Oryctolagus cuniculus: one gene and its partner. The protein of the gene in region 2 purifies or fractionates together with the protein of the main gene of each other region. This does not show direct contact. Links are inferred from orthologs where the notes say so. Each region holds a gene or a part of one and is shown on either strand. Other genes may lie near its edges.

Region 1 (5,132 bases), on a different chromosome or scaffold from region 2:
TCTCAGACTGCGGGAGGAGCTGGGGAGCCAGGGCACCACTTCTGTTCACAAACCCCAACTCTGGTTCCAGGTCCTTTCCCTGCCCTCCCACAAAGAGAGGAACGTGGGGGTGGTGAAGGCAGGTGGCTCACCAGGCAATGCCAGGACATGGAGAAGAGTCCAGCACACCGCCAGGCAGGCAGGAGGCAAACAGGAAACCCTCCTTCCACGCTCTTCAAGCCAAGCCAGACTGCTACAGAGAAAAGCCACCACAGGGCACGCAGGCACGCTGACCCCCGACACCGTCATAGCCTGGGCTGGTGGGCAACACAGCCTGCCCCGGCAGGGACATCTCACGTGCCACTTCTCACACTGAGGGCGCACTCAACCAGGGCCGGCATGGGCCGGGGTTCCTAAGCTGCTGGCAGAAGCCTGATGCGGTTGTGTAAGCCCAGCCCTCGAGTCAGACCCTTCTTTCCAGGCTGGGAATCTAATGTTGCAAGTGCAGTGTCTGGGGAGTCCAGCCCAGCGAGCCAGAGAAGCCCACAGAACAGGAAAGAGCCCAGGAGACACAGCCGCTGGCTGGCCGGGCTGCTGTGGCTGAGCCACTCCAACCCCGCACGCTGGGGTTGCTTTCTGGCCCTTGTCACCCACCTCTGGGCGCCGGCGCCAGCGGTAGCAGCTCCTTCCCCTAAAGGTGCCCTGAAGGCCAGTGGACCCTCACAAGGGCAAGTTCCAAGGCAGGACCTTCCAGAGGTCACCGTGTGGACCCACGGCCTCGGAACACGCTGCAGGTGTGCGCGCCGGCGGAAGGGGAGGCCAGAGATAAGTGGTCACGGGACTTGCCCACAGCCATACACACGGAACCAGACCCAATTTCAAAGCCGGGGGCTTTCTGTTCACCACACAGCTCCCCTCTCGAAGCTCTCACCAGTTCATGAAGTCGGGATTTTAGAACCGTTCTAAACCAGGAGCACGAATAATTGCAATCACAAACGTCCGACCCGCATCTCCTTCACTGAACCACAGACCTCAGAGCTGGGAGAGCCCCCAGACTCACTCCAAGCTGCAGTCTGCAGATGAGGAGGCGGAGGCCCCCAGGGCTCTCCCCAGCTAGCTGGGGCCGACTCGGGGGTCTAAATTCCCATGCTAAGAAGCGACCCAGGTCCTGCCTTTTCGGGGAGCCAGGGCACCAAAGGCACAGCCCAGGGGCTTGCACAGAGAGCCGGGGCTGAGTGCACCCACCCTGCCAGTCACCTGTGGGTCTTCCTGCGACGGGGCCCCAGCTGCCAGCGACACCATCCCAATAGCACAGACTTCACACCTTCCTCAAAACCAGCGGCTCTGGAGCTCAGGCGACCTGGAGGACCGCAGGCCACTTCCAGAGCAAGGACAGCGAGCGGTTCTCCTGCCTACGCACTCTGGGAGCCAGGAGCACTGCACAAACACTGGGCAGGATCGGCAGAGGCCACACCAGAGAATCTTCTCTGAGCCCAACAACACAGCGACCCCTCCTCCCGGAACTAAGCCACACAGGCCCCCTATTGTGTGGGCTGAAAAACTCGAGTTTGCTGGGCAAACACACTCAGCTGTGTTCGAGAAATCAGTTGTGGAAAACGGCAGTGTGCATACAGAAAGGCCGGTGGTAGGGGTTCTGTCGGTGTGCCCTGGTCAGCGCTGCTATAGCAACTGTAATTAAAAAAAAAAAAAAATTAACAGCCAGCACTGACTGCCGTCTTCCAATGTCCCCAGCTTGGTTGCTTTTAAGAAAAATAGGAGTGAGGGAGAGTCATCCCCGAGCATTCTGGATCAAACAAGGATTCGGGCTTGTGGTGGCACAGAGGGAGGATCGGCTCTGTAACAATTCCTGCAATCACGGTTGGCCCTGTGACAGCTGGCAGAGGTAATTAGCAGGAGGGGGGGCACTAATAAAATGAAACTTCCCAGACCTGCAGAGGGACAGATGTAGCAATGCAGGGTGCTGAGAAGCCCCCCTTCAAGACACGGCGGCTATTAACTGGCCCCCAGAATTTCGCAGGTCTCCCAGTCTCTGGACAAAATTGGGACTGCATTGGTTTCCCTCTATTGTGTACGGGGTTGCCGAGAGCTCCACCTTGTGAGAACCCAACCACCCCTCTCGCTGGTTCCTCCAAATCCTTTTAATGGGGCACTTCCCAGCCATCATTTGCAAGTGGGGGGGCCGAGTATCTTTCTCCTCTACACCCCAGGCCATCTCCTCCAGCGGAACCCCTCCAACCGTGTCATCTTCCCACCCAAGGCTGCCTTCCCCAGCATAATCCGTTCTAAGCCCAAATCCAGTGTCTGCGGGGAGGGAGGAGTCCGCGAATTCCGAGCGTTTGGAGCAGGGAACCGCGGTGACAACGCCAAAGGAAAGCACCCAACGACTGAACAGCACAAATGCAGCCTCAGCAAACGCGTTCTGAAAGGCAGCAGACAGAGACCTGGAGGAGGGGAGAAAGGAAGGGACAGGACGGAGTCTGGGACGTGAGGGGAAGGGAGAGGAGGGCGGGCCGGCGCTCACACTTCAGGGGGATCCGCCTAGCACACGAGGCAAAGCCCGGCGCGTGGCTGCACCGGCGTGAGCCCTGCGGCCCCGCAAACTAGAAATGGGGTGGAGGCGAGGCCGGGGATGTCCACGCGTACGGCGCCTCGAGCCTCCATCTCGGTTCACACTAAGCAACCCCCGCCCCCAAAACGTCGCCCTTGGCGAGGCTGGTCCTGGGTCCTCGAGGGGCCGCCTCCACCGGGGAGACCCGGCTCAAGGACGCAACTCCAGCAGGAGAATCTTCGGGCCGGGAGGGAGGCGTAGAGGCCACCGCCCCCCCCCCCCCGCCCCGGCGCCGCGGCCCCTTACCTCCAGGGTCCGGATCTCCTGCTGGGTGAGGTCGTTAGACACGGCACACTTGGTGCGCAGCCCGCGCAGGCTGCCGATGGAGATGTCGATGAGCTTCTGGAGCTGCCCGCACTGCTGCAGCGCCCGGCTGGCCGCGGCCCCGGCGCCCCCATCCGCGGCCGCCGCGGCGCTCCCGCCGCCGCCCTCCTTCTCCTCGCCCATCGCCGCCGCGCTCAGCGCCGCTCTATCCATGCCTCGGCATCGGGGCCGCTGGGAGCCGAGGCGAGGAGCCCGGGGCGGGGGTCGGGGGCGCGGGCGCCTCGGCAGGGAGTCCCCGAGCCCGGAGGGCTGGACGAGGCGCGCCCCTCGGCGTGGCCAGAGCCCGGACGCCGGGAGAGCCGGCCGCCGAGTCCGCTCCTCCCGCCCGCCCAGCAGCCGCAGCAAAGCGAAAGCCGCGGCGACCCGACGGCTGCGGCTCCCGGAGCCTTTAAGCGGCGGCGGGGGCCGGGTCAGGGCGGCGGGGCATGCTGGGACTTGTAGTCCGCGCCGCGCACCTGCCGCGCGGCCCGCGCCCTCGGGGCCAGCTGTCCGCGCCGGGCGGCGGGCTCTGGGCTCCCGGCGAGCGGGGGTGCCGCGGGAGAGCCCACCCCGGCTATCCTCCCGGGAGGGGCTGCTCCGCGCCGCTGCTGGCCCCGGCGCTGAGGGTCTGGGCGCCCCCTCTTCCCACCCGCCCCCGCCGCCCGCCTCGGCCTAGGAGCTGCCGGCGGCTCCCGAATCAGGCCGGATAGGGGGTCCGTATCCCGCTGGACGAGAGGAGGGTGTGCATCCCACCGTTCCTCAGCGGCAGCCGAGCCCTGGAACTCCCGGACAGGGGAGGTTCCGGAACGTTTATGTGGGTTGAGGGGCCGCCATCTAGTGGGAAGGGGCTTGAAGTACTTCTGTAATGGCTCACACCGCACTTTTAATTGTCTGAGAACTGGGAGTTCTCAGGCGTGGAGAAAAATGAAAGGACTTTCTCCTGGAGGCGGCCCACAAAATAAGTGTCGGGGTTCGCCAGGCGCGGGATGCGACTCTGGGCGGCGGCCCTTTCTCAGAACGCGAGGGCGTCCGGGCGCGCATGGCTGCGGGCTGATGGCTGGCGCCGGGGGTAGCGGTCCTGAGGGTCGAGCGGCGGCGCGCGTGGCGCTTGCGCCCACCTCCACCGCCTCGGGTCACCCCGTGTGCTTTCTGTGAACCCGAGACACCAGACGCCCATCCAGGTGCGACAGCTCCGGACCCGCGAGACTCGCCAGCAGGAAGGATGTGGAGTTTTCTGTCGCTCCTTGGTGGCACAAGTCTCTCATTTATCCCCACAGAGCAAAATCCAGGCCGGAGCGCGGCACACGGCGAGGGCCCGTGACACTGGGCAGGCGGCGTGGCCGCTCTTTGGGTCCGGTCCTCCTGTGCCGGTGGCTCTTATCTCTCAGCCCAGCTGAGGCTTAGGCGCGCGCGTGTGCGTGTGTGTGTGTGTGTGTGTGTGTGTGTAGACAGATGGAGCTTTCTTCAGGGTGAGGACTGGACAGGAGGTGGGATCCACGCACATTCTCACTTGAGAATAGACAATGGTACTGGGTGGCAGTTTGTATTACACCTTCTATAGGGGCAGGCGCTCAGCACAGCGGTTGACCTCACTTGAGACGAGTCCCATATTGGAGTGCCTGGGTTCGAATCCTGCCTGTGTTTCCAGTTCCAGCTTCCTGGGAGGCAGCAGCCATGGCTCAAGAGCTTGGGTCCCTGCCCCCAACATGGGAGACCGGGCTGGAGCTCCAGACTTCTGGCTTTCAGCCTGGCCCTGTGCCTGCTGCTGCAGGCATTTGAGGAATGAAGGAGGAGAAAGAAGATCTCTCTGTCTCTGTCTCTCTCTCTCTCTGCCTTTCAAATAAATAAATACGTTACACTTTCTGTTAATGTCATTTGGCATTTCAAAATAAATATCATGTCTAAAGGCAGGATGGAGCTCCTGGCTGAGACCCTGCCAATGTGGCCATTTGGGGAGTGAACAAGCAGTTGGGCGATATCTCCCCCATCACTCTGCCTTTCAAAGAAATAAATGTTCTTTAAAGAAGAAAGGAAATTATGATAACTGTAAAATGTGCTTTTACAAACTAACCCCCGCTCTGGGATTTTTTGAAACACAAGGGGTCTCCTTGCCCCTCCCCGTGAAGACTCACTGACGCGGTCCTCACTGGGTTTGTAACAGAACCCCCGCACTGGACCTATGAATTCTCCCCCACCTCTGACTGCCACCTTAACCCCGCCC
Region 2 (4,993 bases):
TTTTTGACGGTGGGGGCTGGGCCGGCAGAGGTGCGCACGCGCGCTCTCTCTCTCTCTCTCTCTCTCTGTCGCTCTGCCTGTCCAATAGATGGAAACAAGAGGACGTCTCCCGGCACGCGGCGACAGCCCGGGGGGGGGGGGGGGCCGGGGAAGGCGGGGCAGCACCAGGAGCCGGGGCGGGGGGTGGCCCTGCGTTTGCCACCGGCGTCCAGCGACGGCAGCTTGGACAGCTCTGTTTCTCTGGAAGACCAAGGCCCGGGACACAGATCTTCCTTCTGCCGGGTCGCTCCCCAAATGCCTACAACAGCCAGGGCTGGGCCGGGCGGAAGCCAGGAGCCGGGAGCTCCGTCCGGGGCGCCCAGGTGGGTGCAGGGGCCGTCCGTGTGGCCCCCTCAGGGGTCAGCAGGGAGCCTGCATACAGCCCAGGCCCTCGGGAAGGCCACGCGGGAGCTGGCCTGGGGCAGAGGTTACGGCTTTGCATCTTTGAGTCTCGTTTTGCAATTATGTATACGCATCTGGACCTGTTTAGACCCTGTTTAGACAGTGTATCTCCGGCGGCCAGCCCACCCGCACCCGCCGCCGCGGGTTCAGGTCCCGGCCTGCTCCCGGCTCAGGCACCGGAGGTCCGCCCAAGTGCACGGTCTCTGCCACCCCCGCGGGAGGCCCGGGTGGAGCAGCCCCCTGGGGAGTGACCCAGCGATGGAAGACCTCCCTCTCCCCCTCCCCCTCCCCTCTCTCTACCTCTCAAGTAACTAAAAATCTTAAAACAAACCAACCAACCAACCAACGCTCCGCCCATCCCCGCGGCTGCTGCCCGAGCCGACTCGGAACTGCAGGGCAGCGCAGCTGGCACTCGGCGTCCACTCCCGCAAGAGGCCACAGCAAGAGCCCCGGGAGGCGCTCGCACACCGGCCACCCCAGCGGTCAGCACACCCAGCCTGCAATGCAAGGCCACAGTGACTCCTGGTGTGCAGGGGCTGTGCGGAGGCCGGGCAGAGGCCACTAGGGGTGAGGGTCGGGGTGGGGGGCAGAGCCCACAGGAACCACTGGGGGGGCACACAGACCCCGCAGGGCCCACTCCCGGGGGAACACAGACCCCGCAGGGCCCACTCCCGGGGGTCGGACCCTGCGATGCCCACTCCCGGGGGACACACAAACCCCGCAGAGCCCACTCCCGGGGGAACACAGACCCCGCAGGGCCCACTCCCGGGGGTCGGACCCTGCGATGCCCACTCCCGGGGGACACACAAACCCCGCAGAGCCCACTCCCGGGGGGGACACAGACCCCGCAGGGCCCACTCCCGGGGGGGGACAGACCCCGCAGGGCCCACTCCCGGGGCTCGGACCCTGCGATGCCCACTCCCGGGGGTCGGACCCTGCGATGCCCACTCCCGGGCGGACTGCGGGCCCGGCGGCGGGTGGGGGTCGCGGGGCTGGGGAGGGGGCGTCTCCCGGGGCAGAGCAGAGGTTCCGGAGGCCCGGGGCTGCCGGTGCTGAGACCGGAAGTCCCTCCGGGCAGCGGCCCCGCAGCTCCCCCCGACGGCCGCGCGCAGTGGCTCCCACGATCCGCCCCCACGTGACCTCTCTCCGCCGGACGGGGTGGCCGAGAGCTGGGCTGAATGAGGGGCTCCCCGGGCTCACTCAGCTCCGGCCCGGGACACGCAGCGGGCCGCCCAGGCCCCGGGCCCACCTGTCCACTCTCCTCTGCCCTCGTCACCGCCTCCCGGCGCGTCGCGCCTTCTGCGCATGCGCACTCCCGCGCCCCGGCGCGGAAGCGAGCCACTGCGCACGCGCCGGCCGCCGCCGCCCGGACTCCGCCCCTTTGCCCCGGGGGCGGGGCGCTCGGGCCGGGGCGCGCGCCGCGGCGGGGGCGGGGCCAGGCTCACTCTCGCGAGAGGCCGGCGCGCGATCCCGCGGCTGCGCCCGCCCCTCCGCCGGCCTCCCCGGGCTCCGGCTGCAGCGTCAGCCTGGCTCGGGCCTCGGCGGCGCCTGCCCGCTCGCCCGCCTCGGTGTCGGCCTCCCCCGCCGCCCCCGGTGCCGGGCCGGGTCGCGTCGGCGCCGCCCGCTCCGGCCCGCCCCCCTATGGGCCCCGGCTGAGGCGCCGCCGCCGGCCGCGGAGCCCCGATGCTGGCCCGGAGGAAGCCGGTGCTGCCGGCGCTCACCATCAACCCCGCTGTCGCCGAGGGCCCGTCCCCTACCAGCGAGGGCGCCTCCGAGTGAGTGGGCGGGGGGCGCCGGGCGCAGGGCGGGGGTCCCGGACGGCGGGGGGGGCGCAGGGGCCCCCGAGGGCGGGGGGCGCCGGGGCGCAGGGCGGGGGTCCCGGACGGCGAGGGGCGGGCCCTGCGGGGCAGCGCGCAGTGGTCGGGGCGTAGGGGCCCCCGAGGGCGGGGGGCGCAGGGCGGGGGTCCCGGACGGCGAGGGGCGGGCACTGCGGGGCAGCGCGCAGTGGTGGGGGCGTAGGGACCCCCGAGGGCAGGGGGCGCCGGGGCGCAGGGCGGGGGTCCCGGACGGTGAGGTCCGGGCGAGGGGCGGGCACTGCGGGGCAGCGCGCAGTGGTGGGGGCGTAGGGACCCCCGAAGGCGGGGGTCGCCGGGCGCAGGGCGGGGGTCCCGGACGGTGAGGTCCGGGCGAGGGGCGGGCACTGCGGGGCAGCGCGCAGTGCGAGTCCTTGAGCGCCCCGAGGGCGGGGGTCGCAGCGGGGGCGCTGAGCGGGCGGTGAGGCCGAGGGCAGCCCCCCTGGGAAGCCACGGCGTTGGGGGTCCCTGCGAGGCGGGATGCTTTGGGGAGATGGGTGGGGCCCCTGGGTGACAGGTGGAAAGGTCTTGGGGGACCCCGCGGGGTCGGGATGGGGAAATGGGAGGGGTAGCCCGGACTTGAGGACGGGCTGGGGGGGGGGTCTCCGAGGCCAGGGGCGGGGGAATTTGGGGGTGGGGGTCTGGGGGCCGAGGAGCAGGGGGCAGGCTTGGGGTCTTGGGGAGAGGCCCTGGTGGGTGCCCCGAGGCCGACCTGGCAGGTCCAACCAGAGTGACCCCCTTGCCACAGCCGGGCACAGGGCGGGGGGCCGCGTCGCGTGTCCCCGGAGAACGAGTGGGACGGGCGTGGGCCCCTGCCCTGTGGCCGCCCCCACGCCGGCCGTGGCTGCCCGGGCCCCAGTGCTGGCAGAGCCGCGCGCGGGGCTCGGCGGGGCAGGTGGGGGGCAGCGGCTCCCGCGTGGTCTCCTGCGCCCTGGTCCCCGTCCCTTCCGCCTGGGGTCGTCTTCCGGACGTGGCCGCCGTGGTGGCCGCCTGCCTGCCACGGAACGTGGCCTTGTCGGTGCCCCACGCGGCCTCCTGGCCCCACTGGGACACCTGCTTCCTGGGGCCTGGGGCGGGGGCCTGACGGGAGGGAGGCGTGCGGGTCTCCCGGCCGCGAGCAGGGGTCCCGCGTGGGTGGGGGAGGCGGTGCCTGAGGACCCCCTTTATGCCCGGGGCACCTGCCAAGCCCCGCGCTGGGCGGCCGCAGCCACCGGCGGCACGGGCGCTTGGCGGCTCTTCCAAGTTCGGGAGCGCTCTGGCGTCGCGGGCACGCGGGGCGCAGACACGGGGGTGGGGGAGGCCGCGTCGCTCGCCCCTTGGAAATGATCGGATTTTCGCTGGCTCTGATCAACCGCGCTGTGGCCGAGCCGGGAACTGGTGCTTGGACGCCCGTGCCGAGTCCAGCCCCGGCTTCCCGGGCCCCTGCTCGTCCTGCGCACGCGCACCTGGGGGCAGCAGTGCGGGGTGGTGGGGTGGGGTCCCAGGTCCTGGCCCTGCCGCCCGCGTGGGAGACCCCGTGGAGCTCCGGGCTTTGGCCGGGCTGCTGTGGGCAGCTGTCTCTCTGTCTCTCTGTCTTTCTCTGCCTTTCAAATGAACAAATAAAATTTTTAAAATTACCTTTGCCTGTTTTCCTTTTTTCAAGAGTGGGCCCCAGGAGACGGCGTGGGGGCTTGCGGCCGTTCTCCCCGGGAGCCCCCGGGCCGGCCCTGGGGTGCCCTCGGCTGCAGCGTCCTGCTTCCTGCCCCAGGGCCAGGTTCAAAGGCAAATTCCCTGAGGACCGCGTCCCGGACTCCCTGACAACCCCCTGAGTGACCCCTAACCCACAGTGGCCACGGCTGGCTGCGAGGTTGCCGGGTCTGGGAGGCCAGGCGCGCGGGTTAAGGGTCCGCCTGGCGCAGGACCGGGCCCTCGGGGCGTCCACGCCCGCGTCGGAGGCCTGGATCTGCCCAGGCTCCACGGGCCCTGCTCCTGGGCCCGGTCCCCATTTCCCCCATCCACCCACGCCGTCTGGAGTCCCCCAGGGCTCTCCTAGTGCCCCCCCCACCTGCGCCCAGGGAGAGGCGTTGGGTTCTGGGGTGCGCAAGGGCACGCATGCGCCTTTCCTCGCTAGGTCACTAGGCCAGGGGACCGTCTGCGTCATCCCTCCCCGCTCCCTGGCCGGCCGCGTGCCCGTCCTGGCTGGGGTGGAGTCGGTGTGTGACGCGCGCACTTGTGTTTGAGAGGTAGACAGCAAGCAACACAGACACATACCCCACCCGCTGGCTCACTGCACCAGCCAGGAGCCAGGGACTCCATCCGGGGCTCCCGCGTGGGCGGCAGGGACCGGGGCCACCCGCTGCTTCCCGGGGTGCGCGCGCAGGGACCGGAGCCACCCACTGCCTCCCGGGTTCGCGCACGCAGGGACCGGGGCCACCCACTGCCTCCTGCGGTGCGCGCGCAGGGACAGGGCCACCCGCTGCCTCCCGGGGTGCGCGCACGCAGGGACAGAGCCACCCGCTGCCTCCCAGGTGCGCGCGCAGGGACCGGGGCCACCTGCTGCCTCCCGGGGTGCGCGCGCAGGGACCGGGGCCACCCGCTGCCTCCCGGGGTGCGCGCACGCAGGGACCGGAGCCACCCGCTGCCTCCCGGGGTGCGCGCACGCAGGGACCGGAGCCACCCGCTGCCTCCCGGGTGCGCGCGCAGGGACAGGGCCACCCGCT

Evidence for each region. The genes of interacting proteins can lie anywhere in the genome.
Region 1: the proteins of MAP2K2 (region 2) and KSR1 purify together in Homo sapiens (affinity purification with mass spectrometry; 4 studies listed by BioGRID and IntAct, with this or other methods). This does not show direct contact. The link is inferred for Oryctolagus cuniculus from reciprocal best matches to the Homo sapiens genes MAP2K2 and KSR1.

Annotation. Positions count from the first base shown.
Region 1 is NC_091448.1:43,194,449-43,199,580, reverse strand, and holds the start of KSR1 (kinase suppressor of Ras 1), read right to left. Parts: upstream 3,400-5,132; 5' UTR 3,086-3,399; coding exon 2,855-3,085; intron 1-2,854.
Region 2 is NC_091447.1:59,238,941-59,243,933, forward strand, and holds the start of MAP2K2 (dual specificity mitogen-activated protein kinase kinase 2), read left to right. Parts: upstream 1-1,945; 5' UTR 1,946-2,124; coding exon 2,125-2,216; intron 2,217-4,993. UniProt on the Homo sapiens protein: Catalyzes the concomitant phosphorylation of a threonine and a tyrosine residue in a Thr-Glu-Tyr sequence located in MAP kinases. Activates the ERK1 and ERK2 MAP kinases.